Caenorhabditis elegans: one gene and its partners. The protein of the gene in region 3 interacts with the protein of the main gene of each other region in a pairwise test. Each region holds a gene or a part of one and is shown on either strand. Other genes may lie near its edges.

Region 1 (7,607 bases), on a different chromosome or scaffold from region 3:
CTTTTTTTGTTACTTTTAACAGTGATTTGTATTGTTGAAGTTTGTTGTATTAGTTTGATCAGTTTAATCTAATGTATGCTCAAAATTTTTACGAGTTCAAATCCATTTTTTTAACAAATTTCATCATGACCTGTTTTTGAGAAGATACTTGAAGGCAATAAATTTTTTCCAAGGCTATTTCCCTTTATCATTATTGCCCTAAAAATATTTTCAATCATTGGCAGACTCTTCTCATATATACCGATACTTTTGATTATCTCTCTATTTGTTTATTCTCCCAACACTATTTAAAATTGCCAATCAAAAATCCTTCACAGTCCTCGAATTGCAAAGAATCGGAGCCACTGTCCGCCTCGATATGACATTGTTTAAGTATTGGGCCACCGGTCAAACAGTGTGAAAATATATATCGGACGGGAGATGGGGGTGCTTGTGGCGCAAGGTGAGAGTGCTCCGAGGAGCTGAGCCAGTTGTTTTGTTTGTTGCTCGCTCGGCTTGGCAGACAGAGAGCCTTCACTGGTGCCGTACGGTAGCCGGTCACTTGGATGTTTGCAAAACGACTTCAGGCGCTCTGGACCTCTGCGAATTGCCGCTGCCTCATTTTTGACGAAAAGCACAAAACACCAAGTCAAATAATTCTCGCGACAGCAGGGTATTTTTGTCATTGTGGAGATACAACGCATGTGAAAAAAAAACAATAATTCTCACAATGATTTTAAGTTTTCATTTCCCTTTTGTTTCTTGATAGGCAGCTCACAAAAAATTGCTGAGTGCGCTTTTTTATCAGCAGTTTAGTTCGCTGCTTCAAATTTCACTTTTTTTAAATGTTTTCTTTTTTCCAGCGATAAACACGGGTTACATGATTTAGTGATTTATGATGCAAATCGTAATCAATCACGAGAATTTTAGACTTATCAATGGCTTAAACTGTGGCACTGAAATGCAAAAGTTGAGCATATCAGAATATTATCAAATACGTAATTTTTTTGCAAGTTTATAAGGCGACAAACAAAATCAGACAGTGCGTCATAATTTCTTTGCAACATCAGCCAGCTAAATGTGTTTTGACTCCAGGGAACGTTAATGGACAATGAAATCAAAAAAAAAATAGGAGCAAAAATCGACCCACGCATCATCACAATTCCAGAGAGAATTGTGTGCACTTTCATACCGATTGATTCTTAGGATTTTCATTCGTCAAGATAGCTTGTTAGTTATTAAAACTTATTACCTTAGAGTCCACTACTTAGTATAGACTTGAAACACATTTCAAAACATTTCAACCGTGTCATTATTTTTCAATTTATAGATTCACCCATGTTTCTGGTCCGCCACGTTGTAGCTTGTTTATTCAATGACGTGCATTCCCAATTTCTAGCAATAAACCTGTTTCCAATTTTCATGACATCCTAACTCTTTATAATGAAAAAAATTGTGCACAATGCACATTCTTTTTTCTTCTTTACCTGTACTCCTTATGTAGTATGAATAAGAAAAGGTTTGTTCATTTGCATTGAATTATGGGGGGATGGCGCGGCGTAGTTTGCACCATTGAAAGAGGTCCCATCGTGTCTGACACGACCAACCTGACTCATCAATTTTAGAACCCTTCCCCCCCCCCCCCCCCACCCCCACACTTTTGTTCAAGCTCAGTACATTTTATTTATTATTTTATTATATTCGATCGGCTCAGTGATTGATCTTTTTTTAGTTTTTTAGTCGATGTCTTGCGAATATGTATTTGATATCGTCTTTTCAACCACAAATTTTTTCAAACTCTTCTCACGTTTTATTTAATGACGTTTCAGTATTTTGTCAGCAATTAGATCAGTTTTCAATTCAATATTGAATTGGTGTGCAACATGATTCACTGATAAAAATGGGCTTTTGCCCCCTAATTGACGCAATCAATGCTAACTCTCCAACAAACATATTTCGTGTAATAGATCATCGAGTTTTCAATTCAGTTTTCCATTGGCGCCATCAATTTCATTTTGTTACTTATCAGCTTATTTCTGGAAAAGCTTGGTTTCATGTGACACTGAGCGAGGCAATGATTAGGAGTGTCACACTAGTCAACCTCACGCGCGCCAGAAATCGCTTGACGCTCTGCTGATAACTTTTCCGAGTCGAAGCAAAAAAAGGGGTTGGGAATAGCGAAAATTAGCGATAAAATAAAATTTGACTGATTAACAGTGCCACTTTATTCGTTACTACTCTAGTGCACAAACAGGTCGACACTACTCTTCGGTCTCGACTTAACCTACCATCTTCAGTACTAACTTTTATTACTATCTCACTTGTACTGTTCAATATGACTGCTGCTTATTGTACGTATACCCTCTCTCATCATAGTGTTTATTTGAAAGATAAATCTTCTAATTTCCAGGCGAGACCCAATTTCATGGTTTGAACCAATTCGCGTTCCCGTTCAACAACTTGGAATACAAGTACGGAAGTTGTAAGTCTGACGGTTGGAATTATAATATTTCCAATAGTATTTTGTCACTCTAGATTCTTCATCAATGAACGGTACTGGCTCAGTCGGTCACAGATGGAATTCTCTGAGCCCGGAGCCACATTCCGGAACGGAGTCAACCGCAAGCACTCCTTTTGTTAAAAGCGAGTTCCCATTTGATGATGATCTATTCGGAATCGACCAGGTAAGTTTTTGTCTTCTTCTTTTTTGAGACCATGTGGGTGTGGTTGCGTTAATTATTTTATGCCTGCTCTGAAAACTGGTTATGATTACCAAAATTGAAGTTTGAAATAAGAACGTTTTTGGGAAAATGAGAGTAACAAACACACCTTACTCATTTTTATCAATCAGTTGAATCATCAATGTTTTTTTAAACGCAAGTTAGCTTCAATAATTTTTTGCTATTTTGAAATTTAGTTTACTTTATTTGTTCTCATATTCATTTTCTTTCACAGTAAGACACGTGCGTGCTATTTACGTCATAGATGCGATAATTGATAAGACCCGATTGATGGAGAAAATAGAGAAATAATTTTTTGAGTGACTTTTTTTGCATTTTAATCACGTTGGAAACAATCACAATGTACAACTATTTTAGGTAAACAACGTCAAACCACATCCGATGGATATGCCATGCAATCTTCCAATCCAACCCATCGAGTATAACCGTCGATTCTCAAAGGTAGTTTTACTGATTATCACACTGACCCCTCTGTATTATTATAATTTGCAGGACGCCGATCACAGCACGTTTGTGAAGAATGAGATTGAAGGTTGGTACTTTAGATGGATTAGATACATACAAACACCATTAACGACTGTTTTGAATGGTGTCAATCATAATCTCGGGTTCTTTTAACGCCTTCTTCTCCCTTTCGGACTTTCACTATCCCTTCATCGAAAAACATCTCATTTCGTTTGGCGGGAGATACTATTGAGAAAACACGTTTTCCTTCGATTAGGGTAGTTAGGCACAGGTCAGCTTTTTCTCTGGCTGACGGCACGCCTGGATTGACCAGTGAAAGTTTTCCAAGCGGCTACCGAATTAGTTGTGGGTCGGGGTCATGTTTTTTTAAGCTGCTTTGGCTAACCACAATAGAAAACAAAGTTGTGACCCATTACAAAGTAAAAAAGAAAAGGGCTTAGATATTAGGAAGATATGGAAATGTGTCAGGGTTAGAAAAGTGCGGGTGATACATGGATATGCATCAATGCTTGTTGTTTGAATGTTTACCACGAAAAAGTTCCAGAAAACATTCTCAATTTCAATGTCAATCCGGAGATTGCGCAAGACAACGGTCTTGACACCCAGCAAATTGACATCTACAGGGACCTGATTCTCCGTCATCTGATTCAAGACATCAGTACAACTTGTGCCAAATTGGGACTTCCAAATGGTACATTACTTATCCACAATACCTCATTTATATTTTTGGTCTCTAGATTTCTACCTGTGGTCATCCGAGCATGGAGCACGATGGATCAACGAGATGTGCATGCAATTCAATCTTCAGCCGCCTAGAAACTGTTCAATCACTGGTATTGATTTGCTCGGCATGAGTCAAAAAGATTTCGAAATGATTTTGCCGGCGGGAGGCGACACGTTGCATGCCCAACTCCAAGTGTGGAAGACCGGTACGTCAGATTACGTGAAAGGTGATGCGATTAGCATGACTATAAATCACGCCCTTTTTCTGATTGTCATCATGACGGTTATCAGTGACATGCTCACACGAAAACGAGACACCAATCCAATTCAATTTCAGCATTTGAAAACTATCATCCACCCGTGACCGTTCAGAGCTCCGGAATGACCGCTGCCGAAAATAACATGCAGTCAAAAACTAATTGGGTATGTAAATGTTGATTATGTCATTCCTCAGAATTTTCGGCGCGCAGTCTTTTTGTACCCCTATTTGCTCAATGCGTTTTTTTCATAAAGCCTTCTCGTATTTTTAGCTAGCCAGCACCAACAATCAAACAAACAACATGGCAGCTGCTGAGAACCCGAATCATCCATTTTTCAATGGAAACGGTTGGTTTCGAACCGGAAGCGTTTGATGTGAATAAGTAAATTGTATTTATAGGAGGGTATCCAAACATGTCGATGAGCAGCTTCTTTCAACAGGGAACTGTTTTGCCATCGCCAAGCAACAGCGATACCAGCAGCAATGGGAGCAGTCAAGACAGTATGACACGGGCTTATTAGTACTGTAACTAATTCAGAGTTTTTTAGTGAATGACGATGATATTGATCTTCACATGAACAATTCGAACTGTGGTTTCTCAAACTTCTTTCACAACCAGGGTTACATGAACTCCCCTATTGACGCAATGTGCAACGGAAGCGAGGGAGATGACGATGAGCGTGCCTACACTCGTCATCAAGGAACTGTTCATCTGTGGCAGTTTATTCGTGAGCTTTTGGATCAACCAAAACAGTACAGTGCATGTGTTCGATGGGTGGATAGAGATGAGGGAACTTTTAAAATCGAGTCTTCCCTCCTGCTGGCTAGATATTGGGGACAACGAAAAAACCGTTCACAGATGAATTATGACAAGTTGTCCAGAAGTCTTCGACAGTACTATAAGAAAGGTAAAAAGAATAGGAGGAAGTGTAAAACAAAAACGTTACAAATCAATATTCCAGGAATCATCCAAAAGCCGGAAAAGAAGCAGCGTTTGGTGTACAAATTCCTGCCTCCTTATAACTTGTAGTCATCTGGCAGAAAGACAACGACGTGTTGCTATCTGTGTATGTGTCAATACTCTGTTTACATTTTTCAACTTGTCCTGTCGGTCCAGTGTGGTCCCATTTCCCGATATCTGTGATTCAAGATATACTTCCATGTACTGTTCGTTGTAGAACATATTCCTATTGTGTCCCATACTTCTTTTTAATACCCGAGTCAATCATTCAAGGTTTTATTCAACTTCTTTATTTTCTTTTTTTTTCTCATTCTTTTTCAATTGTTGGGAACAATCAAAAAGTATTACAAATGTTATTACCATTTAGAGTGTGTAGTTCAGATGTCTGAATATTGTTTCACTCGATTTATTTATTGTAATGCAATATTTACCGGTTTGAAACCGTGCAATATGTTGTTCTCTATTTATTCTCGTTCTCATGTCAGAACTCTTCCTCTCTCCCAAATACTTTACCAAATAACGGCTCATATATCCACCAGTGACAGAAAAATAAGCGTTTTACTGAACTGTTCCCGATTGTATTTATACCAATATGATTATGTTAATTATAACAATTATAATATTGTATCAAAAAAATGTTTTAATTTTACATTCCATTTATACTCCAGCCTCCTTCCCCTGTTTACTAGCCTAGTTATCCCCCAAAGAAATTGTATTACAACAATGTGTAGTCCCAGTGTTTTTTTATATCATTGTGCAATTATTTATTCAGATTGTATTATATATTAATGAACCAGATAAATATTTTTTCAAAATATAAAACTTGGCTTTTAGCAAAACTAAAGATAAACATGAAAATGAAGGAAAGCTTTGAAAAGATGAATTATGAAACACAACGAATTTCGAATTCAACATTTAATTTCTCAATCAAAGTAGATCATCCTAGATATCCCATTTGATTGAACGACTCTGTATCCGATTGTGCAAGTCCAAAGGTCTCATAATCTGTGAAGAATTGCTGAAACAGAGAACGAAGGGTCATTACGTCAATACTTTTTTTGCTGAGCTACCTGTCCATTTCCATTATCATTGAGTGACATTTGTCCTCCGGCAGTAAAATAGTGTGGCTGATGGAGAAACGCTGAAAAGAGCAAAGATAAGCGGTGACCACGGATGGCTTGTTTGCGGTTACATGGGAATCGCAATGCAAAACACAAAAATCATCAACTGAAATTGATTGATACTTGCGGAAACTATAAGACACATATGAATGTAAATTTGAAATTTTCACGTAGAAAAACCTGAAAATAATTACATTTATCAAAAAAAAATGCCAACACATCAAATATATCGACATTTTAAAATAACCTTCTCGATGTGAAAGTTTTTTTGAAATCACCAATTAGATTTTAAAACGTCATCTCACAAAACGATAAAAATAATAAATATGGTTTTTTTTTCTAAAATTGATATATGATGAATTTTTAGTATTCAGTAAAAGGAAGATTTCTAGAATATATAATTTTTAAAATTTTAAGACTGATTATTTTTATGTTTAAGTTTGAAAATGGGAAGTTTTCCGTTTTCAATTCAAATTAAATTTTTGCTCGTGTAAGTACCATTTACAAACAAGTGTTTAAAATTTGTTTTCAAACAATTAATGTGGACTTTTCCTAGATTTAAAATTATTTTACTTTTTTCTAAAATTATTTCAGCTTGTCAATAATAAAAATTTGACACAATTAAAATCTACTAATTGAAATATTATTGGAACTTCAACACATTAAAATAGAGAAAAATTAAATGACACCGCTCTCCTTTGTGTTTTGGATTAAAATTATAAAAATATTTAAATCTTTCGAAAGTGAAACCAAATGTTTCATAAATTTGCTGTATTGGCAAAACTTAGACTAGATATTTTCGAAAAAAAAAAACTTTAAAACTTTATTAGGATTCTGATTTATGCGTCTTCAAACGGATTGAGCAAACTTGCAAATATAACTTTTGAAGTTATTTATCCACTCTTTTTTTCCACTCTAATTTTTTGTTCAATTTTGGAATTTTAACAATCTTCCGTTTTTCAATACATCCTAATTCTAGTGTTTTTTTTTCTGAATTCGATTAAGCACAAACAATGTGTTTGCTTGACACTTTTTAAATGTCTTCGAGGTATTCTAAAACTTTTTTCAATAAAGTTCCTGATCTAGTTTTTTGTAGAACACAAATTAAAAAAACAATATTTGAGTTCAAACCTGCAATAAAAACAAAATAACAGCACCCATTCCAATAAATACTCTAACTATTATAAAAGAGCAGTACTTCCAACAAAAAAAAACAAAATCAAAATCAAAACCTTGGTTAAAATTAAAAATCAAAGTATTCATAACATTTCCGGCAGATATGTTATTATAAAAAAAACTTAATTGTTGGAATCTGACATCTTGAAAACATTACAGATTTTGCCAATTCGCATCTTTTG
Region 2 (5,978 bases), on a different chromosome or scaffold from region 3:
ATTACGAAAAGTTTCCTTCCCGGTGTTACTGGAGACCAAACATGTTTTCCGTGGAACTTTGAATATCTATCATCTTCTGGATGAACTGCTACGGCCACATCCGCGAACAAAGTTTCTGGGCGAGTTGTTCCAACTTCAATGAATTCAGATTCAGAATCTACCAGATTGTATCTAATTACATGCATTTGACCGAACTTCACTCTTCTCCGTGTTCCACTTGACGACGATAAATTGATGTAACCATCAGATGGAACATCAATTCGATTTACTTCTTGACTCGATAATGTAGATGATAGTGTTGGACACCAATGAACTAATCGTTTGCCACGTGTAATCAAATCTTCTTGCTCAAGAATGCAAAAAGCTTTTGTGACGGCTTCGGAAAATTTTGAATCGAGAGTATAATATGATTGAGTCCAGTCGAGAGAAGCTCCCATTCGAGTCAATTGCTGTCGAATTTCAGATGAGCATTTTTCACCCCACAAATGGCATTCTTTCACAAACTCTTCGCGTGTCATCTCAAGTCGTCGCTTTCCATTTTTTGCCAATATTTTTTCCACGACTACTTGTGTGGCGATTCCTGCGTGATCAAATCCAGGAATCCATTCGGCCTGAAAACATAAAAATAAGCATCTTAATTTTTCGTGAAATTTTACTTTATTTCCCTGATTTCTCTGGTGTCGACAAATAGCATCTTCCACTGCAACTGTTAGAGCATGTCCCAAATGCAGTTTACCAGTTACGTTTGGCGGGGGTAAAACCATACGAAATAGACTGCCTGAAAAATATTTTTTTGCCTAGAACTATTATCAAGGAAATCTGACCATTCTTTCGATAATTTGCAGCGGCAAACTCTGTTCTTTGTTCAAAATTTTGTGTTACCTCGTCGATGTTAAAGGAGCTGAAAAAATTAGTTATTTTATTTTCTTAGTTTATCGTTTACCTACTACTTTCACGTGTAATAATTGTCGGTGAGTAAGCACATTGCCTTCTTGAACGATGAAAAAGTGCTAATCGATTCAATTTACCCATTTATTTCACCTGAAACCACAAACAATAATTTAAAAGAAAGAATGCGCTCAATCTGTTGAAAAATTAACGCTCGTCTGGACGAAGCAAATGCGCCCTGTCGCGAAACTAATTGGAGGGAAGATTAAAAAATATTTTTTTGTCAAACGAAACATTTCAGAAATTATTTTGCAATTCTATAATTGAAAATCAGATATCTTCGTGAAAAAACGTTATTTCCAGATGGTCTTCAAAAACATTGATTGACATTCGATAAAGTTTATTGATTGTTAGTGTGGGGAGAGGATACGAGCAATTTATATTTGGAGGGAATTGAAAATACATGCAATGATATCCGATATAATAAAATGCAGCAAAATAATTCAAGTTTAGTTTCAGAGCCTGCGAGAGATGGGGGGAGCGAGCGTGCTTTCTATATGACAGGAACATTGAGCTTATTATATTTACAAATTGCGCGCGTTATTATAGTTAGTATGGGACATAAAAACGTATGGCAATTTGACAAAATGTATAAATAGATGGGGAAGGAGGTGGTTATTCACCACAATTCAAGGTGCTTGGCAATGTCCATGGCAAGTTGATCAAGTCCAGGAATTGGAAGAGTTGTCTCGTTTCCAATCATCGGATTGTTGATAGACTTCAGAAGAATAGACTGAGCAGACTCCGAGTTGGCTTGGCAGGCAGCATCTGCAGCAGCAGAAGCAGCTGTGAGTGGAGACGAATCACTATCTTGAGACGGAGTTGATCCAGAGGAAGAATATCCCGAAACTCCTCCCGGTGTTGATTGTTTTCCAAGCATAGAGTATTGCATGTTCCCGGCTGCTCCAATAAGCATAGACTCAAACGGACTGATTGGACGAGTTGCCATATTCAGACTATCCAATGCGAAGAAAGTTGATGGATCCAACGGCCAGCTTGATGGTGGGCGATTCCCGGCTTCTGTAAAATTATTTTGAATTAATCATCAATATTCAATTTTCATACCCTCAGTCTCAAGTGGCTTCTTCGATGGCAACTCGTATCGTGGTCCACGAATGCTAACTGGGGTTGGACCCAATGGCATATTTGCTGCTGGCTCATCTGGTGTGCATGGCCTTGCAAACATATCAAATTGTTGAGGGCCGGCTGTAGAACGACCTCCATTCATGATATGATGCTCCATTTGATCGCGAAGGTCGGCCAAAGCATGACGTTGCGAAACCTGTTGAAGATTTGATTAAAGTGGAAAATTAAAAAGTTATCTTACCTCGAACAATTTATCGGCTCGAATGTATGCATTTGGTCCATTGTCCGGATGAATGAAAAGACAGCGTTTTCCATATGGGCACAACCCAGTAGTAGTGTACTTATCGCAGAGCTTCGTCCGGTACTTATTGTTTTGACGTGCCTCGATCCTGTAAAATATGTTGTGTAATCTTAATTCAATGTTCAAACCAACAGAGATGGACGAAGCTCCTCTTCGCCGTGAGCAAAACGACAGTTCTCCGCGAAAGCACATGTCTTCGACTCCAACCAAGCCTGACATATGACAGTCTTGTACGATTCCGGTTTTTGCATTCGGTGACGGCGTCTTGGATCAGCATGATATTGCAGTGGGAGAATAGCTTCCTGTGGAAGATTTTGAAGAGCTCTCATTTGCATCGAATGAATATGCTCGTTTCTGAGAAGATAAAATTTAAGAAACAGTCCATTTATCCTATAGAATTACTCAGCAATCTCCTTGAGAAGCTGCTCCTTGACAGCCATCAGGTTAGCGGTCTCGGAAAGCAAATCGTCGATATGAGAAATCGGTTTTTGCTGTTCTTCCGGAACAGTCTCCATCATATCGGGATGCGATGGTTCAACACTCGACTCTGTACGAGCCCTTAAAAAAGAAAATTAAAATTGAGAAACTATGATAAAAGTGGCTCACTCATTATTCTGGATAACATTTTCCTTGAGCATATCCATTATTTCGTTAGTAGTGCAGGGGAAATGGGTGGTTAGTGATTAGGCGTGGGGTGCTCGGTTAATTGATTCCCTGAAATTTAAAGAAATTTTAAAAATGGTAAGATTCCGCGAGCAATGAATAACAACCGTCTAAAGAATGAAAGAAATAAGTTTTTAACGAGAAAAAACGAATGCGCCAAAACGGTATAAAATTATTGTTTTAAGCGACGTAATTCAGAAATAAGCTCTTTTAAAATTCAAATAAACGGGCCAAAATCCTTCTGAATGAAATAAATGAATGAACAGAACCAAATGTTGTTGAACAAAAGAAAACTGAAGAAAACCATCTCTGTCCCAAAATTTCGAAACAAAAAGTCAATGTTTGGCGGCAATGCGCGCTAAATAAGATCAAATAATTATTTTTTAATACTTAAGTTTAGAATTAAGTCTGAAATTTATGGTTGAATCAAAGTCAAAAAACTTGCAAGAAAATGTTGCCAATTTTCACCAATGACTACGGTCACACTCGTTTGAGATGTGCACTCCCCGCTGCTGCGCCTTTAAAGGTTACTGTAACTAATAATTTTTTTTTAGCAAGCATGGAAATTGTGTAATTGTCTGAAAAAGTAACTCATAAACAGCGAATAACTAGATTTTCTCGACTAAAAAATTTTCAACAACACTGTCTGACCAAAATCTAGCTGTAAAAGAACATTACTTTGCAAATATACTTGCTGGAAGGTATTCGAATTTTTATTCAATATTTACATGTATATTTGATTTATTGTAAGTTCATTGTATTCCTATTAAAATCACTTGTGCATTCCATAATTTGACGCCTGGGAATAAACATTTTGGTCGAAAACTAGCGGTGTTCCATTGGACTCAACAACATCCATCAACTTTGACTTTTTTGCTTTTTCCAAGAAGAAACTGTTTGTTGTGTCGATGAACTTGCATGGACGCATTCCATTTCTAAAATATTATCATTTTTCCACAGTCCTTTGTCAAAAAATCACTCACTCAATAGCCATTTTAGCAGCTCCAATCTCCAACTTCTCTCCAAGATTTTTACCACGATGCCCCTAAAAACAGATTTGAAAATATTCAATTTGAAAATAGTAAAACTCACATCAAAGACATGCAAATGAGCAAGTGCTCCGTGAGTTTCTGAAGAAATGAATCCAACAAGTTCGTCGCCTTTACGAACGCAGAGCGATGGGAACCGTCGAAGTTTTTCTCTGAAAAAAATTCCTATTTTTCCATGTAACTGTTGTTTTACGATTTCTCGATTTTGTGAGAAAATGATATAAATCTAGTACTGTTGGTTTTTAATTTCCTGATCCAAAAACTCACTCTACTAATTTTGCATTTGGTGTGATAGATGATCCTACAATCTTCATAACATCATTTGTTGATTCAGGTATATCAATTGAGTATCCATCAGGTAATGTTGTATCACCATAATTTCTATATTTGAAAATTTGACTTTCATTCATTGCAAAAAAGTGTGTTGATTTGTTTTGCACCTCTGCATTAATATTGTTTTTCTTCATGTACTTTTCAATCTAAAATCAAACGTTTCTTATCTATTAACCTTTGTTCTGTTTTCATTGTGTATTACCGCTTTAGTGTAACATTTCTCGGCTACAGTTGATGGAGCATTGGAGCCAGCAAACAATCCATTTGTTTTACAGAATTCATCAAAAACCGCCAGAAAGTCTTCTTCTCGAAACTTTCCATCGTGTGTCAGAATTTGACGGTCTCTGAAAAGGTGCGAAGGTCAATTTCGAATTGAAAAAAAGAGATAGCAAAAGGTGGGAAAAGGTCTTTAGTGATACTGAAAAATGTTTTTGAAAATGAAGAAAAACTGGTTTAGGAATGGATTGTCATGGAAATGTTTGATCTTATCAAATATTACGGTCGAATCGGAAAAACATGAGTGAAGATACGGAAAAATGTAGTCAGCCATGGACATTTAAAACGGAATTCACTTTTTTTTCAAAGTGAACAAAGTTTAGGGTCGCGTGTACCTACTTATAAAGTAATTGTCCCATGTATTGAAAGTTCATGTTTTTGTAGTTTGAAACGGGAGGAAATGGCAAAGTTGTTGGCAAGTCAAATACATTCTCTACATTGAAAATTTCAAGTTGCTTTCTAACCTTACTTATCTAGGTTTATGCGGGCATATATACAAACTTCGTACAGTAACTCGTTCGTTTTCGAAAATTTTTGGGTTTTGGTAAAAAGAATTTAAATTTTGTAGAAATTTTATATATCTACAGTATTCTTCTCCCTATTTTCCTCGAATTTTCAGTTTAAGTTGGTTAGCGGTACGTTAGAAACCAAGTAAACCAATACACATTCCGCAAAAAAAAAGTAACTCGTCTGAATATTTTAATTTGAAAAATAGTTTTTATCTAGGCAGGCGGTAAGCCTGTTTTATAGGCACCTATATTTGTATCAAAATAAATGGAACACATTTGAATTTGGATTACCTGTTCAGTTTTCTATACAAAAAAATTTAGAATTACCCTAATAAATTTACTAAACAGTCTGATCGAAATTTCTGAATCTGAACTGTATACGCACTACTTCACTTCAATAAACTAACCTTTCATACAGACTTGTCATATTTGCAAGCCAATAAGTAGTTCCATTAACATTTTTTGAAAATAAAGAAGTTTTTGTAGCTGGGAAAGTACCATTAATCTCAAATTGAATTGGATGATAAACGAATAATTGACGTGGTTTTCTGAAGTTCTCAACGACAGTCTTCAGAGCCTTTTGAGTTGTGTATGCTTTCATAGTAGATGCCATTGTGGTTGTTTAAGAGTTTACCCATCTTCTATTATTCTCTTTTTATACCTAGATCCCTGTCATACTGGCTCTTACAAAATGTCCTTATGTCGTTGCCAACACACCCATCGCTCCGCCCATTTCGAAGAGGACGTATTCTTACACGTGGGACACAGAGATAACTGCAAAATCGCACGTGTGCGGGAAAGATAGACATGGTA
Region 3 (6,723 bases):
TGAAAAATCATAAGTACGTTTAACATAAATCTGAAATTCAATAGGAACTTACCCTGCAAGTGCAATAAAAATGTAGCTAAACTTTGGAATTGCAAGGAATGCTCTGTCGGTGAGAACTGCCTCCATTATGCAATCGACAACATATTCTGGTGAAAGAATTGGAAGAAGTGTTGGCCATTTTGTGGCAATTCCATCGAACATTCCAGTATTTATATAAATTGGGCAGACTACAGTAGTCTTCACATCCTTTTTTAATGCGTACAACTCAGACGCAAGAGAGTCATTAAAACCAACAGCTCCGTGTTTGGATGCACAGTAATCTACCTGAAAGCTTTTTAATTTTAAATGTCTTTATTTGCAGAATATTTGGCCTCCCAACGAAACGTATGAAACACCATGTAATCTAAAAAAACAATGTAGGCACAGGGATGCCTACGTACCTATCTACACACAAGTTTTTTTCGACCTTTTGTGTAGACTAACTTAAACCCTTTAACTTTTCGTGGCGCGGTCAACATTTTGTTTTAAATCACTTACCAATCCAGCAACACCACACTTTCCAGCCATTGAAGCAATTGTTACAATATGCCCTTTATTCGACTCGAGCATGCCGGGAAGGAAATTTTTGGTAGTCTGGAAAATTTCGGTATTCTCTTTTCAACAAAAGTCATATCTTACAAAGAACAAAGCATTTGTGTTAACTGAAACAGTCTTGACCATCAGCTCATCTGGACATTGCAGCAACTTTTTTCCTTGAAATGTTTTTATGAAAAGATATTATGGGAATACTAATTTCTGAGAATGCGTATTGCGCAACATATCAGACGCGCAAAATATCTCGTAGCGAAAACTACAGTAATTCTTCAAATTACTACTGTAATTTTTGTGTGAAGTAACAATGGGTTCACTGAACCTTTTCGAAAGTCTTATCATTTTATTTATTTTATTGATTTTTGTTTTCTCTCTTTATCTGGCATATTTCGCTTAAAATGAAAAATATGTAATACGCTAAACTTCGTATGTTTCTAAATCTCTACAGTATGCAATTAGCAAGGGATGTGCTTTTTTGCCAGTGGGTCCCGCCGCGCCATTCAAATTCATTTAATTAATACCATGTGTATTGCGACTCTTCATTGTGTCTTCGAGACCCGAAGAACTCGGGGGATGTCCAATTGGGGGGATTACCAACTCGGGGATTGGCCCCGCCCACAGAACCGTGGCTTGCAATACGCCCATTTCTGCAACTGCCGCACGGTTTCGAAACTGTATTTTTCTCAATAGAGCGAGATTTAACAAGAAAAATACAGTTTCAAAACCGTGCGGCAGTTGCAGAAATGGGCGTATTGCAAGCCACGGTTCTGTGGGCGGGGCCAATCCCCGAGTTGGTAATCCCCCCAATTGGACATCCCCCGAGTTCTTCGGGTCTCGTGTCTTCTACAGGAAAAAATTAACTCTATAAGGAACAAAATTATTATTTACTGTGTTTTTGTATTGTACATGAATTTTTCAGAAGTTTGGATGTTTTCAGCCGACTGTACTTACCCGTCACAATTCCAGCGTTGTTCACGAGAATATCTACTTTCCCTACTTCACTTTTAACCAAATCGGCGGTTCTATTGATTTCTTTGTATTCCGATAGGTCCACTGTGTATGCTTTAGCCTGAAAGATATAGAAATGAAACAGTATACAAATCGCAGAGACGCAGAGAAACGCACAACGACACTCCGAAATGACGATCGCGCGTTGTTTAGCGTGTCATTTGAATTTGTACTTTTTCTCATTTGCTTACCTAAATTTATTCAACTTCTCTTTGTTTCCCATTTTTGAGTAAAATATTTTTAAAAAAGCCATTTTCAGATTCTAAATCGTATTTTTCTGTAAATAGATGAGTAGCTCTGCGTCAAAAACTCAGGAAATAAGGTATATTCTTCGTATGAATAACTAATTGCTAAAAACAAAATTTTCAGCGTCGTCATAGATCCCCGTGATGCGCTTACAAACAGCACCAACGGCAATAAACCAAACGGCCCAAAACCGAAAGTAAGATCAGAAAAGCGGTAGTTCGTGAGAAACTAGAGCAGAAGGGGGTAGAGGAAAAAACTAAAGCTAAAAAAATAACTAGAAATTAGTGTTTAATAAAACATTTTATTTTCTCCATCCTACTCACCCAACCATGCTTTATCAACCATCTTTGTTAAAAAGTCGACTTACTCCTGCTCCGCCGGTAATTTTCGGAAAAAGTGTATTTTTGGTTTATAATAAAATTCAGGGGTTTTCTTTTCAACCTCAGCCTCTATTGAACTCAGATATGGATCCAGTCAGAAATTTAGAAAGTCTAGGGAACTACACGGTGTATCAAGATTCTTCTCAATGTTTTTGGCAACATCAAAATTTTACCTCCAATCGAGAGCATAACCCCGCATTAAGGAAGGTTCTATTTTTGGAAAAACGTTTTAATTTCTTAACACTTCAATATTTTAATTAAGATCTACTCATTCCTTGTAGTTTCAGACAAAGATTTGCGATCACTGGCGACGCTCGGGCAGCTGTTCGTATGGCGACGCGTGCTGGTATGCTCACGGTGAAGACGATCTTCGTAAAGTGGTCAGTTAAGCAGCGTAGGAAACATCAAAGAAATCTGGTTTTTCAGGTCCGGATTGATCGTTCGAACGAAGAAGAGAATGAGCGACCGGCTACTGCTGAAATTCAAAAGTCGCCGACAAAGCGTGCATCAACCAACGTCAAAGGATTAACAGTGAATATTCCATCGAATACTGCCTTCAAAGAACAAAACTCTTCGATGCCGTTATCTCCAGCTCAGGAAAGATGGATTTCCATGTCAATTGGAGCTGTACCACCACCAACCAGCTCAGCTGCAGAGAAGGATGCGATTTCATCATTATCTAAAAACGGTGTCGAGCAAGAACAGGAAAAGAAGCATGAAATATGTTCTCGTGACGATGATATTGACGATTACGGATTTTTGGTTAGTTTTGTAACTTCAAGAATAACTTTCGGTTGAAACTGAACAACTTGTTTTCAGTCTCCGAATCCGTTCCCATACCCGCAACAGTCAATGTTCTCAGCTGGATTTCCATCTCATGGACACCATCAACGTTCCTCGAATCGTGCTACGCAAGGGGTTCCTTCTCAACAATTTGGAGGTATAGAGATTTCACGAGGTTTTCTCGAATTTAATGAAATGAGTCTCAGCCCGCTGAAATTTTTATGGTAGTCTTTTTGAATTGTTGCGGCTGATTTCTCGTTTTCTTGAATTTTTCAAAACAATGACTTAGTTTTTATCAATCTTTATCGTTTTCTATTCATTTTTTTTGCTAAAATTAGTTTAAATCAGTTTTTGGAGTATAAATTAAAAAAGACTATCATAAACTTTTTATACGTCGAGACCCTGAATGAATCCGTGCGCCTTCAAGAAAACATGTCAAATTCTAGTGAAATTACGACAAGTTTTTCTTCAGAGATTTTTTAAATCAAAATTCATTGTTACAGGGCCAGTCAACATCCCTGGTCAAGATCCGAATCGTTTGGGATCTGGAGCATACCATATCCCACCACAGCACCAAAGATCAAGATCCAATGTTCGTACTTCACGAGAGGTCGGCGGTCCCCCTCCGCAATTTCAACAAGCGATTTGGAATGTTGCTGGTGAAATCTATCAACGTCAGAAGGACATAGAGATAGGCGGACAGAGAGTTGGACCCAATGATCGTCAACCGACTCAACAGAAAAATTCGGAAATGGATCGACTTTTGTCTAAACTGAAAATGAAAGATTTGAACTACCTTCGTTTTATGATAGAGCGAGGATATATCAACGAGCGTGACGTGTCTAGGCAAACTTCGGTGAGTGGTGTCTCAGGTTTTTCTTTTTTCACAATTTCTTTTAGATTTAAAAAAATTCAAACAATTTTTGTTCAGAGTGATCAAATGAGTAATGGTCATCACTTCAATGCTCCTATGACCCCACCATACCATCCACGACTTGCAGGAAACGGTAAGATTGAAATCAACCAAATAAATAGGAAAATTGATCGAACTATTGCATACATTTTAGAACCAAATACTTCGGACTGTCATTACCATGGAACTGGAAATCGTTTATCAAATTTCATGCCAGGACGTCATCGTCCCCCACATCAACATCCAATCCATCATCATCATCAGTCACAACATCAGCTACACCAGCATCAGCAATATCTGCATCATGCTGCTCAGCAATACCGTTATTCGCATCAACAGGGACCTCAACATCCGTTTGCGGCTCTTCTCTCACCACCGGAGATCTCGGAGTCCTTGCTCCCACCTGATGACTCGTTTTCGATTTGGCTCGAGCCGAAGCCGAAAAAACAGTCCGGAGCCATGACACGAACTCGCGGAGCTGCGACGATCAACGAATCGAGTTCTGCGGCAAGTCTGCTCACAAAAATGGATGCTCTTCGATCAGACAAGTATCCAATTACAGACGAGGAAATGATGATGGCTAATGATTTTGTGAGACAAGGCGATCGAGATGGTATGTTTATTGGTTAATTTACTCGAAAAATTTCTATAAAAATTTATAGTTCTGAATATCCATCAATTTCAGATAAACTAAGCTCCAGCGAAAGCTCAAGTCCTGTCGTGATGTCTTTGATGGAACTATTGAGCAACGAGAATCTGCTCGATCAAGTAGCAACCGAAAAACCAAAGTGTTCTATGTTCGATTTTGATACTCTAAAAATCGCCGAAACTCTCAAGGAGCCACTGCAATCTTCCGAATGTTCAACTACAACATCAAGCAAGATGACCTGCTCTCCAATGTTCTTTTTCGTAGATGAAAAGACACCAAACTACGGTAAAATTTTTTTTAGTATTTGAGTAGAACCTCCAATATATCGGCTATTTTTTAGACGGCTCAGGATCGAAAAGCCTTTTCACTCCGTCATCATCGGCCGGCCAGACGCCTTCATTCCTGGAACCTTGCGATTTTTTTGCAGCCACCGGATCGTGCCCCTTCGGTGACGCCTGTCATCAGAGTCACTCGATTTAGGAGGACCAGCGATGATTTTAAAGCCCATTATTGTAATCATTTTCTCATTTCTCACCCAATTCAGTTTCTAAATTTTATACTTTATCATTTTGTCCTTTTTCATCGTAATTTTTGTTCTACTCGCAGCTCTTCTTTAGTTTTTTGTATGTATTTAGGGTTTCTTGTAGAGGATATGGATACTTCCAGCTTTTTCCCACCCACATAATCTTGTTTTCCTCAAGTGATACGGATACCATCCACAAAAGTACGATATTCATAATTTAAATTTTGTATTTTTCTTCACTTTTTGTTCCATTTACACTTGTTTTCATTATTTCTAACGAGCCCGCGCCGCTCTTGACACTAGCTTTGTAATAGTAATAGTTAGCTGTAGTTGTAGTAAGTTTTAGCGAACATTCATCTAATAAATCTATAAATGTGAAAAATGTTGCAAGTCCAAACCTCAACTCCCATCGCTTCCAATTCTTTGAGTGTTTCTTTGTTTCCTTGCTCGTTTATATCCCATAACACTAATCTTGCACCGAGTTTTCCGAACTCGAAGGCCATCAATCGGCCTAATCCACTTCCGGAGCCAGTGATCAGCACAGTTTGTCCTGAAACTTTTAATATTATTTCCTTGTGTACGTGATCCGATACCTCGAACGTCTTTTCGTAGTAGCCATCCCATTGGGAAGCAATTTCTAATTGTGGAGATAATAAGAAGACATATGGCATGTAGAGTCACCACAACACTTTCTAGAATATCCTGCATCTACAAAATCGGAAAATTGAGGGAATTTTTAAACCAAAAATTAAAACGTATTGGTTTTCTTGAAAAGTTTCTGGAAAAAAGCTAGAATACAAAAAAAAAGAATCAAGATTGAGAAATCATATAATGAAGAGTTTTTGTTGACTGTACACGCTTTTTCTCTTATCATTCAACATTTTATCAGTGAATAGACCATGTTCTGTAAACATTTTGATAAGAGATGGAGAAATAGTGTTGGAAATGAAGAGAATTAGATAGAAGGTAGAGTGGAGCCGAGAATACAGAATTTTGAAGTTTTTGATTCATAGTTTTGGTCGAAGAAATGCACTGAAAAAAAGTAAATTATTACCCATACGCGCAATGTTGCGATTTTTGAGCCAAAAATACGGTAACCGGTCTCGAGACGCCTTTTCAAATGTAAAATACAAATGTTTGTGCTCCTTTAGAGGGAACTGTAGTTTCAAACTTTCGTGTTTTTGCAGAATTGTCATTGATTTTTCATAATTTTTCGATTAAAAAAATTTATTTATTTAAAAAGTAACAAAACAAAAAAAGCAGGACTGAAAATCCATTGGCAACGAAATTTTCAAATTACAGTACTCTTTAAAGGCGCACACCTTTTCGCATTTAACAGGAATGGGTCGTGTCGAGACCCGGTACCGTACATTTGGAGAATAAATCACAAAATTGATTGAATCGGTAATAACTTTTTTAAACAAAAAAATGAAGTTCGATTTAAAAAATAAATTTAAAAACTTGAAGATCTTGGTAAAAAATCGAAAGAATCGAAAACAATTCTTTGTTTTTTTGTTGCAGAATCTCATGTTCTCCTCCCTTTTTCATTTCGAAAAAAAACGAGTTTTCTTACACTTCTTAAAAATTCAATCATAAATTCTATTTGTGTGATTCTTCATTTCAACATTCC
Region 4 (9,083 bases), on a different chromosome or scaffold from region 3:
ATAAAACAAAAAAGTATGAAACTTTTCGTTTTTTGCGAAGAGCTGGAAGCTCAAAACTTCCGCAACGGTGCTCATAATTATCGTATTGAGCTAAATCTTTTTTCCCTATTTATCATAGCATTAATAATAACAATTAGAGCATCAAATTGAAAATTTAACAAAAAACTGGTCAAGAAAATAAAAATTGTGAAACGTTTTGGATTTTTGAACGAAAAACGAAATGTTTTCTTAAATTTTTCTTCCAAAATTCACAAAGTTCACAAATTGTTGTCTTTTTCATATGTTTCCAGGGAAATATTTAATAAAATCTTTCGAAAAATAAAATCTACGTAAAAATTTAAATAATGATGCCAAAAATCTAACAAAAATACTAACGTTAAACATGTTTAACATACATTTTTCGAAATGTCAAGATTTTTCAGGTCTAATTTTTAAATTACTATAACTTTGCTTGCAGTCATTTTGATCAAACTGCAAAAACTTAACATTTTAACAATTCCAGACATATAGCTACCGTATCAAAAAATTGTACCAGCACCTTCTGCACTGTGCAAAAAAGCGACATGAAAGACGAAAACGTTTTTTTGTGTTTTACACAAAATTTCTCCTACAAGACAAAACCACATAGAATAAGCATTCAGATAATAAGATAGAACAGTTATTTCTACTTAACTTACTTAACTTTAATTCGATTTTGCAAAAAATTTCATGGAAGGAAGTTTTGATTTAAGATCATTCATAGAATCACGACTAAGATTGTCCACAACGATTCACCGCCACCAAATTCTATTAAGAATTTATCTTGTTCCCTAATGGAAACAAAAAAATTCCTTTTAAAATGGGCGGTTCATGTCATTTTTATTTATTATGTTTTGTGATAACAATACCAGAACTACTGAATGCAGTGTGCTGAGAACGAGTACGCTACTGAATGCAGTGTGCTGAGAACGAGTTGGCCGCGCCGTAGGCGCGGTCAGCGGCTGGTAACCACATAAAATACGAAAATCATTTTTTTTTGGTGTTTACTCAAAATTTCTCTAACAAGACAAAACCAAATAGAAGTGATTTTGTGACACGCGGAACGGGAAAGGATCCGGATATTTAATACAGGAAGAAGGCAGATAAGTTTTGTAAGATTGTATTTATCATCAGTCGCGTTAAACATTCCATTTCGTAGACTTCCCACTCCTTTGTGATATTTCTCAACATTTTTATTGGAAACCGTTGTCTTTTTGTAAATGTACGTACCAACATTAGTCTATCAGTGAGATCTCTTTATTATTTGTTCAATTGATTTCACACGCAATCATAAATTATTGGATTTTCTGTTAACTTTGGAGATTAGAAATGTCTGGTTGTAATGTTAATGACTAGATTGAAGGAGGGTTGGTACTAGCTTCAGATGGTTGTGTCTGCTGGTAGTTAATATTAGCAAGTGAGGTAGCAGCTGTAGCGGCCGATGGTGTCGTCGTCATTCGAAGTGCCAAACTTTTCTGGTAGAACTCGTCGTCAGCTTGGAAAGAGGTGATGGAATGACCGAAACTGAAATTAACGAAATATTTATCCCACAGTAAAAAGACGAACAAACTTTGCAATGGGATTAGTGAACGAGTTGGAATATGAAGGAGAAGCTGTTGGGTATGGCATTGGTCGTTGATATGATTGATACCAAAAACCGTCACGATTCAATGCAGCTGGGTACATTCCTTGTCGCATCAAAGTATTCGCTGGATTGGATAGGAATGAGTGCGGGGGATTGATTGCCTGTAAATAACTTTTTTGATGAATTCAGAATATATTCGTCATCTTCCTACCTTATTCAATTGTTTTTCATGCTTCCGATGTTTTGCTCGCCGATTTTGGAACCACACCTGCAAACAAAATTGGATTACTCGAGAAATTAGTGGGGAGTATGAGTATGATCAAGTCAGATCTAGAGGGATGGAGTAGAGACAGCCAGGTGGCAAAACTGTTACGCAATAAGTAAAGGAAGTGTGAATACGCTACAGTAATCCTGAAATCCTTACATCTAGAAACAAGATATCTAGTAATACATTAGTGTGTCATTGTTTTTTTAATTTTACGAATTGGAGTCAGAAATGTATTTAAATTTATAATTCTACGTTAAACATTGTATTTAAAATTATCAGGGAAAAATGAATAAATGTGATTTTGGCGCAATTTAGTAATTAATTAAAAACGCAATTTAGTATTAAAATAATGTATACTGTTGGGTATATACGACAACCAAATTCTACAAGATTGTATGTAAACAAATAATTGGAGTATTTATTTCAGATTCTACAAAGTTCAAAAGTATCTTAATACCCACACAATCCAACCAAAGAAAGTTTTTAAAAGTCACGTCATAAAGTATTACTGTCTCCGGATCTTTAATCCTTCCTTTCCTTTTCTGTTCCTCGCTACACTCTCTTTTCTTTTTATCAAGTCCCTTCATTTCCTTTTTCTGTATTTCTAAATGTTGATAGACTGCTCAAGAATAAGGGAAAAGCTGTGGTGAGGAAGGATATTGAGAAAGCGGCAAAGGCAGAGCATAATTCAATTTGCTTGCCTCCTAACAAAGACGCCGATGTTGGAAGAGAAGAAGACGATGGGTTACGGTAGACTGGTGATAGAGAGTTTCTTTTGAACAAGAGTTTTAGAGATTCAAAGGCACTAGTTTTGAGTTGTTATTATTATTATTATGAATATTTAAAAAAAAAGGATACCGTATGACGGATATGGAAGTAGGTAGACAATGAAAAAAATCAGAAAGGGTGAGAAGTTTTAAGCATGTATCATTGAATCTAGGCAAAGTTTTATTTGTTTTATTAGAAAGTTCAGAGAACTCTATAAATAGAAAAAAGTTCAGAGAACTTTATAAATAGCAAAAGATAACTTACATCAGTAGATCGCAAAGAAAACAGTCAGAACTGAAAGCTTAATCACCAAAAAATAGAAGCTTATTTGAAGTCAAAGATGTGCTGAAAACATTATTGGTAATTCCACAAAACCGTCAATTTAGGAACGATAACCCATCTTTTCAGCACTAAGAAATAAAGCTCGAAACGCAGAAAAAAATCAGATTAATTCGAAAATTATATTCAATTTAGTTGAACAATCCAAAAAACTATTACCGGCTGAACATTGTCGTTTACCAAATATGTGTGCATTCTTTTCTCTACAAACGGATACTTCAAAGAAATTCCTTCATCAAACTTTTCAAGATGGTTTTTAATCAATTATATATTATTTCTGTACATCTATGTTAATTTTTAATTTTAAAAGTTGTATAAGTTCCCTATTATGGCAGATTGACTTTTTTGTCTCAATTTGTTCTTCTCAGCTTCACAAGCTCAATATCTAATCCCTACCAGATGTGTGATGGTGCGTGGTGGATTTAGCGCACAGTAGGTGACCAGGAGGTGGTAGACAACTATCCAAAGGCAGCAATTAACGCGAGATGAATACCAATAAGAAGTGAGGAAGAAGATAAAGAATATGAAGAAGAGAAAGAAACAACAAATTAGAGCACATGTCTCACAAATTGAGCATACAGTTTAATTTCGAAGCTCACCTGTATTCGAGCTTCATTCAACTTGGTGATCCTTGCCAATTCCTCTCGAACGTAGATATCCGGATAGTGACTCTTTTGGAATGCAGCATCAAGCTCCTGAAGTTGTTCCTGAGTGAATGTCGTCCGATGTCTCCGCCTGGAATTGAGACGCTCTGATTCGGGCCGTTCTAGGCTACACAGCCTGCAATTAAGAAAGGCCGTGGAGCACTAGGTGGGTGGGGGAAGGCAAGAAAATACGTGAGAAGTACGGTAGAGTTTGTTGAAAATTAACTTGACTATTGATAGAAATTGAAGATATGAAAATATAGGCGGCACAAGTCAAATTTTGGCTCTTTCAAGTTGTATAATTATATTTGGCTTTCTAAATTTTTAAATTTGGCCAAATAGTGGCCAAAAAAATAATAAACGCAAACATATTTTGTCAAGGGTTTGGTAAATAGCCAAATTTACTTTTAAAAAACTGGGTTTTTGGAGTAGTTTCAATAAATGAAATCTAGATAACTGCCTTATTTTGACATTGAATACCTACATACATCAAATCCCTTCTACATCTACCGTACCCCTATCTTCCAAAATATTAAGAATACTCACCTTGCAGGCGTGTTCGTGACCCCAGCAATCGAAGATCCAAATACCGAGCCACCGAGTCCTTCGGTTTTAATCTTTTTGAAGGCGCCATCTGCAACATCACCAGTTTTAAGGCTTAAAAATGGAAAGTGGGCAGATGTTCGGAGGAATGCAGAATTTCGAAATTCTTAGTGTGAATTGCAAGGAATAATCAAAGAAATATGACACCCTTCTCTACATTGTCTTACCATAATAATACATTGTTAGATTGAGTTGTTAATTCCTAAATCTGCTCACACAAGTACTAAAATAGTAAATAAGAAGAGAGACACTTCGCGCACAAAGTCAAGACTAGTGGATACAATAGAACGGATGGATAAGAGTGAGCATCTGGCAACAGGCGTCATAATTGGCTCGGTGGCACATGCTCCAGAGATGTGAAGTACCATTGAGGAGGGGAAGAGCAAGGCGGGGGGACATGGTAAGGGTATCAGTTGTACTAACACAGCATGATACCTTTGGCGGAAGCTATTGCGCAACACTAATAAAGAAAACACTTGAAGTGGTTTTTGCTGAATCTTGGGATAGGTGAGAATATCAAACGAAATAATAAGAGAAGCTCAGGGTCAGAAGGACCTTTTGCTCAACCTAGAAGGCACTGATGCAAGGAATGAACTGGCATGCGGACGACGAAGGAGAGACATCAAATATGATTCCGCAAATCTGATATATTCTGATGTAATTTTGTTCGCCTTGCTAAAGCGAAGCTCCTCCCTACCAGTGTAGAAAAAAAGAAGATGGAATGTAGAGACTAACCTGATGATGGATCCGAAATTGGACGAAGACTTGCCGAGACTGTATCCAAAGAGCTCGGATAGTAGGCAGTGAAATCGTGAAGAGATACTCCAAGATCTTTCACTTTTTCTTGGAACTGAAAATATAGATCATGATGTAGGTTCCAGTAGAACGTTTTTATACTAATGTAAGGTGAATTGAGGAATCTGTTGGAATCGATTAATGGAAGGACGGTAATAAGGAAATCCACAGTAACACTAGAACTTTAAAGTAAAACATAACGCCAAGAAGACTAATAAAAATTCAGTGACTTAACAGTTTTTCAGCAGAGATTCTACCGGCTTAAGATCTATTTTTCAAAATGTTCGGTTCCACTTACAAACTAATATAAACTAATACAGTTGGTTTTTTAACTTTTTTGTGACTAAAAAATCAGACATCAGTGTCGAGGTATTGTATGATCATTATCTAGAACCCCGTCCAACATTAGCTTCTTTAGGATTGAACACACCAAGATCAGATCTTTAGCGGTGTTTGTGGTGGGACTTTTAGTTTTTTCAAACCCATGTCTAAAGTTATTTCTTGTGAATTAAATTATTGATGTCCATGGTACGGTAGTCTGTGATTTTGATTTTAACATCAATTAAAATGGCGAGCTGAACAATAATTCTAGGGAAATTGGAGGCGAGAAAAGTTGGAAGGCTATCGATACCAGCTCCGGAAGACAACTGAGGAGGTTTGTGTGTGTGTGTGCCACTGATCGTGAGAGCATCTAACAATCAAATTTCCATAATGAATTTATGAGGGGAAGACACACACACACTTGGACTCCTCCCAGTCGTCTTCCGAAAAACGACAACGTCTTCAGGAGACGAAGAATATTGTGCGCGCCAGAAAAGTTAATTATGGAGCTCTCGGCGACGACCGACGGCGCCACCAAATCGTATTACTGTTTATTTCGTTTGCGTCGAGGGCCTCGGAGACTAGAATTAGTTAGCAAATTACCTGTGAGACAGTTGATGCTCCGTTCGCACCGTTCAGCAGATTGTCGCTCATTGTGTGAGTGAAAGCGGAGAAATGTGGAAAGTGAGGGGTGACCGAAGTCGTTGTCGACGTCGTCGTGGAGGCGGACAGGGTTGCTTCTGAAGAGAGGGGCAGCTGACTGGTCGCCGTCCGCCTCCGGCTGCTCCTCCTCCTTCACCACCGGCCCCAACCACCGTACCCATCTTTCCGCCAGAAGAGCTAGGTAGCCACGCCTTCTTTTTGATTTGGATTGGTTTGAGAGAGTCAAGTAAATTAGATTATTTGACAGCTTCTTCTTTCCGTCTTCTTATTCTTCAACTGAGCTTCTACACTTAACGGCAACGAATTCAGTGATCGGTGGAGAGCGAAAGCTATAATCGAGTTTGGACGGACTCTGAAGCCGGGTGGCGATAATCGCAATTAGAGAAGCAGTTCAACTGGCGAACCCCACACGAACACACGGACTAAATCCAAATTGGGTTGGAAAAATTGTGGGTTCGATTTGAAAGGGGATTTAATTTGTGGTTAAACTAAAATACTCAGTTACGCTAAAAATAATTAATTGAATTATTTAAACGTAGAAATGCTGCGATATGTTTAAAAAAAGGGAAATGTAATCAGAATGTTTGTAGTCATTTAATAATAACAATAATAATAATTTATTACGTTCTTGAAGAAGCGTGAAAAGAAAAAAGATGATACATACAAAGATTCATGTCGGAGGGTGGACTGGGAGATTATGGGCAAAGTGAAAGAACCTGAGGCGTAGAAAAAGAGCATGAGAAGGAGTAGGATAAAAAAACAGGAGATATCATAGGATAGTAATGAATGAATGTTATTGATCAAGAGTAGATGTCGTTCGTTTCCTAACTTAGTTATCCTTGTTTAAATTAGATAAAAATTTGAGGAATGACGGTTGGCTTAATGTTCTGTTAACGAAGAAATGTTTCCTAATTTTAAATTTACATCTGCTCCAAGAGAACTTTCTTTTACAACGCGTTCTAGTGTTGTCCGAGAAGGTAAAAAATTCAGGTACTTTCAGATCTATTTTACCGTTTAACATTTTCAAAATCATTTTTTTATCGGTTGTCAGACGTCGTCCTTGCAGCGGTGTGAGCCCAAATAATTCATTTCTTTCTGTCGAGGTTTTATATTCCGGATCACTTATTGAGACGTATTTGCCTACAGTCCTACTATATAGACGCCTTGTGAACGAATTTTGAACTGCCTCGATGGCTCCTATATCTGACTGCTTTGGTGGGCTACTTATAACGGTTCCGTACTCTAGCAAAAGCACAATAAATGTTTTATATAATAGGATCATCAGCTTTGGTTTGTTACTGTTATAATGGTTAAAAATTTGTGACATTTGAAATTTCGAGGAATTAATAGCCTTTTTCCAGTGTTCACTAAAATCCAGATTATGAGAGATCATAAAACCTAAGTCACGTGTCGTTGACTCTTTTTTGATATCCTGGCCGTTTATCTTATAAGTGAAATTTTGGCGTTTTTTCCCTATCGTGAGATGGACGGTTTTTTTGTTCATTAAGAGCCAATTTGTTACTGACGGACCAATTTGCTACTCTGTCTATTGCTTCTTGCAGACTATTAATCTGGTCGCCTTTTGGCGTGTGTACATACAGCTTGGTGTCATCTGCAAACTGCTGCACTTTAACATTTGCGGGCAGTATTGTTGGGATCTCATTAACGTAAATTCCAAAAAGAACTGGTGAGAGTACAGCGCCTTGCGGAACCCCACATTTAGCGTTTTTTACAGTAGATAGTGTATTTCCTATTTTAACTCTAAATGTCCTTTCTATTAGAAAACTATTGATCCAGACTATGATATGTTTATTCAGTCCCAGGCGTATCAGTTTATTGAGGAGAATGTCGTGGGGAATTCTGTCAAATGCCTTGCTGTAATCTAAATATGACGTCAATTTGGGCTCCCAGATCTAGGTTGCTTGTCCAGTCATTCAAACTATTCATCAGATTAGAGATCGTTGATTTTGTAGGTCTGAACCCATGCTGGTTCTCATTCCAAAAATTGATTTCTCTAAGATACGGTTCTATTTTTTTCAGTAAGCATCGCTCATATACTCGACAGATATTTGACGTGAGGCTAACAGGACGAAAGTCTTTTGAGTCTTTAGGTTTAGTAGTTTTCCCTAGTGGTATAACGACGGATTGTGCCCAAGCCTTTGGCACTTCTCCTCTCATCATGCTCAAGTATATTTATTGAATGATACTAATCATTATAACCTCATAAAACAAATTGTAATTACCGAAATGATCTATTAAATTTAGAGAAACTTTTGAGTAGAACACATACGGCCAGTTGTTTTTGAAAGTAACCATATTCAAGATAGCGTATGTTTTTTTCATCAAAATATTATTATCAAATGGCAAAAAGCGGAAAAATTATCTAGCAATGAGAAGTACAACAGTATAGTTTGAAATTAAATTTTCAAACTTAAAAAAAATTAGACTGTAGAAGTCATTTGTGAGTAAGTGGATCCATTAATTTATTTTTGAAAGCAGACATTTCTTTGTAGAATTTTAGCAGATTTATTCACTGTTTCATTCCATTTACCCAATTGGAAGATTATGGTACGGTTGCGTCCAGGTCTATAAAAAGGATGACTTTGATCCTGGCTTTTAATTTTATCAATTTTCAAAGTTGATCACTTGGATCAAACCAAAGTTAATCAATATATGGGCTGGAGCAGTTGGAGTTCAAGACTAATATTAACAACGGTAATATGAATTTTCACTGTTGGACCCCGAAAGTTTAATGCACTCGCCCTCAAGATCATATTCTGGAAACCAAAAACCAGAAGAAGATGCTCCCATGTTTCTTCCCAAAACCATCATAATCATCATCATCATCATGACTCCCTCACAATTCGTTGATTTGATTTCTATTTCCCTCGGAAAAAATTGGAGCTTCCTCTTGCTCCTACAAGCTTTCTGTCTCCTCACTTTTGCAGATTTTGCTGTCATCTCATCGTGTCATCCCTTTTCCCTTTTGCTCCTACTCTTTCTTTTTTCCGACGACAACTCCCTCCGTTCATCGAAGACTTTCATCTCGTTAGTCCTCCATAGTTTTGTCAATTCTTGG

The links.
Region 1: the proteins of gla-3 (region 3) and ets-4 interact in a two-hybrid assay, tested with the Caenorhabditis elegans proteins (one large-scale study listed by BioGRID).
Region 2: the proteins of gla-3 (region 3) and oma-2 interact in a two-hybrid assay, tested with the Caenorhabditis elegans proteins (one large-scale study listed by BioGRID).
Region 4: the proteins of gla-3 (region 3) and unc-42 interact in a two-hybrid assay, tested with the Caenorhabditis elegans proteins (one large-scale study listed by BioGRID).

What each region holds. Positions count from the first base shown.
Region 1 is NC_003284.9:6,516,718-6,524,324, forward strand, and holds ets-4 (Transcription factor ets-4), read left to right. Parts: upstream 1-2,218; 5' UTR 2,219-2,314; coding exon 2,315-2,330; intron 2,331-2,389; coding exon 2,390-2,461; intron 2,462-2,514; coding exon 2,515-2,663; intron 2,664-3,077; coding exon 3,078-3,161; intron 3,162-3,212; coding exon 3,213-3,252; intron 3,253-3,365; exon of another isoform or gene 3,366-3,574; intron 3,575-3,729; coding exon 3,730-3,876; intron 3,877-3,922; coding exon 3,923-4,114; intron 4,115-4,245; coding exon 4,246-4,331; intron 4,332-4,438; coding exon 4,439-4,514; intron 4,515-4,566; coding exon 4,567-4,668; intron 4,669-4,715; coding exon 4,716-5,075; intron 5,076-5,129; coding exon 5,130-5,197; 3' UTR 5,198-5,939; downstream 5,940-7,607. Other genes in the region: Homeobox protein ceh-60, read right to left, coding at 6,066-6,146, 6,199-6,269. UniProt on the Caenorhabditis elegans protein: Transcription factor which binds to 5'-GGAA/T-3' DNA consensus sequences. Both positively and negatively regulates the expression of target genes. Plays a role in the regulation of adult lifespan, which may in part be through modulation of daf-16 activity.
Region 2 is NC_003283.11:8,026,510-8,032,487, reverse strand, and holds oma-2 (CCCH-type zinc finger protein oma-2), read right to left. Parts: upstream 3,050-5,978; 5' UTR 2,980-3,049; coding exon 2,942-2,979; intron 2,894-2,941; coding exon 2,738-2,893; intron 2,690-2,737; coding exon 2,468-2,689; intron 2,424-2,467; coding exon 2,276-2,423; intron 2,231-2,275; coding exon 2,014-2,230; intron 1,969-2,013; coding exon 1,568-1,968; 3' UTR 1,274-1,567; downstream 1-1,273. Other genes in the region: vars-1 (valine--tRNA ligase), read right to left, coding at 1-611, 657-778, 825-901, 944-1,032; F43H9.4 (Glycine N-acyltransferase-like protein), read right to left, coding at 3,771-3,933, 3,982-4,043, 4,091-4,199, 4,315-4,526, 4,583-4,724, 5,573-5,778. UniProt on the Caenorhabditis elegans protein: Zinc-finger RNA-binding protein that binds to 5'-UA[AU]-3' motifs in the 3'-UTR of maternal mRNAs to suppress translation in oocytes and embryos.
Region 3 is NC_003279.8:8,212,524-8,219,246, forward strand, and holds gla-3 (C3H1-type domain-containing protein), read left to right. Parts: upstream 1-2,174; coding exon 2,175-2,225; intron 2,226-2,270; coding exon 2,271-2,432; intron 2,433-2,506; coding exon of another isoform or gene 2,507-2,512; coding exon 2,513-2,605; intron 2,606-2,651; coding exon 2,652-2,987; intron 2,988-3,044; coding exon 3,045-3,165; intron 3,166-3,511; coding exon 3,512-3,864; intron 3,865-3,939; coding exon 3,940-4,015; intron 4,016-4,075; coding exon 4,076-4,534; intron 4,535-4,606; coding exon 4,607-4,855; intron 4,856-4,910; coding exon 4,911-5,050; downstream 5,051-6,723. Other genes in the region: Protein dhs-3, read right to left, coding at 53-324, 538-633, 679-752, 1,543-1,660, 5,492-5,764.
Region 4 is NC_003283.11:9,763,275-9,772,357, forward strand, and holds unc-42 (Homeobox protein unc-42), read right to left. Parts: upstream 6,083-9,083; 5' UTR 5,996-6,082; coding exon 5,945-5,995; intron 5,892-5,944; exon of another isoform or gene 5,754-5,891; intron 5,076-5,753; coding exon 4,961-5,075; intron 4,479-4,960; exon of another isoform or gene 4,406-4,478; coding exon of another isoform or gene 4,393-4,405; intron 4,257-4,392; coding exon 4,169-4,256; intron 3,759-4,168; coding exon 3,578-3,758; intron 1,872-3,577; coding exon 1,815-1,871; intron 1,765-1,814; coding exon 1,589-1,764; intron 1,543-1,588; coding exon 1,371-1,542; 3' UTR 1,260-1,370; downstream 1-1,259. UniProt on the Caenorhabditis elegans protein: Probable transcription factor. Required for initial outgrowth and pathfinding of axon growth cones along the ventral nerve cord (VNC).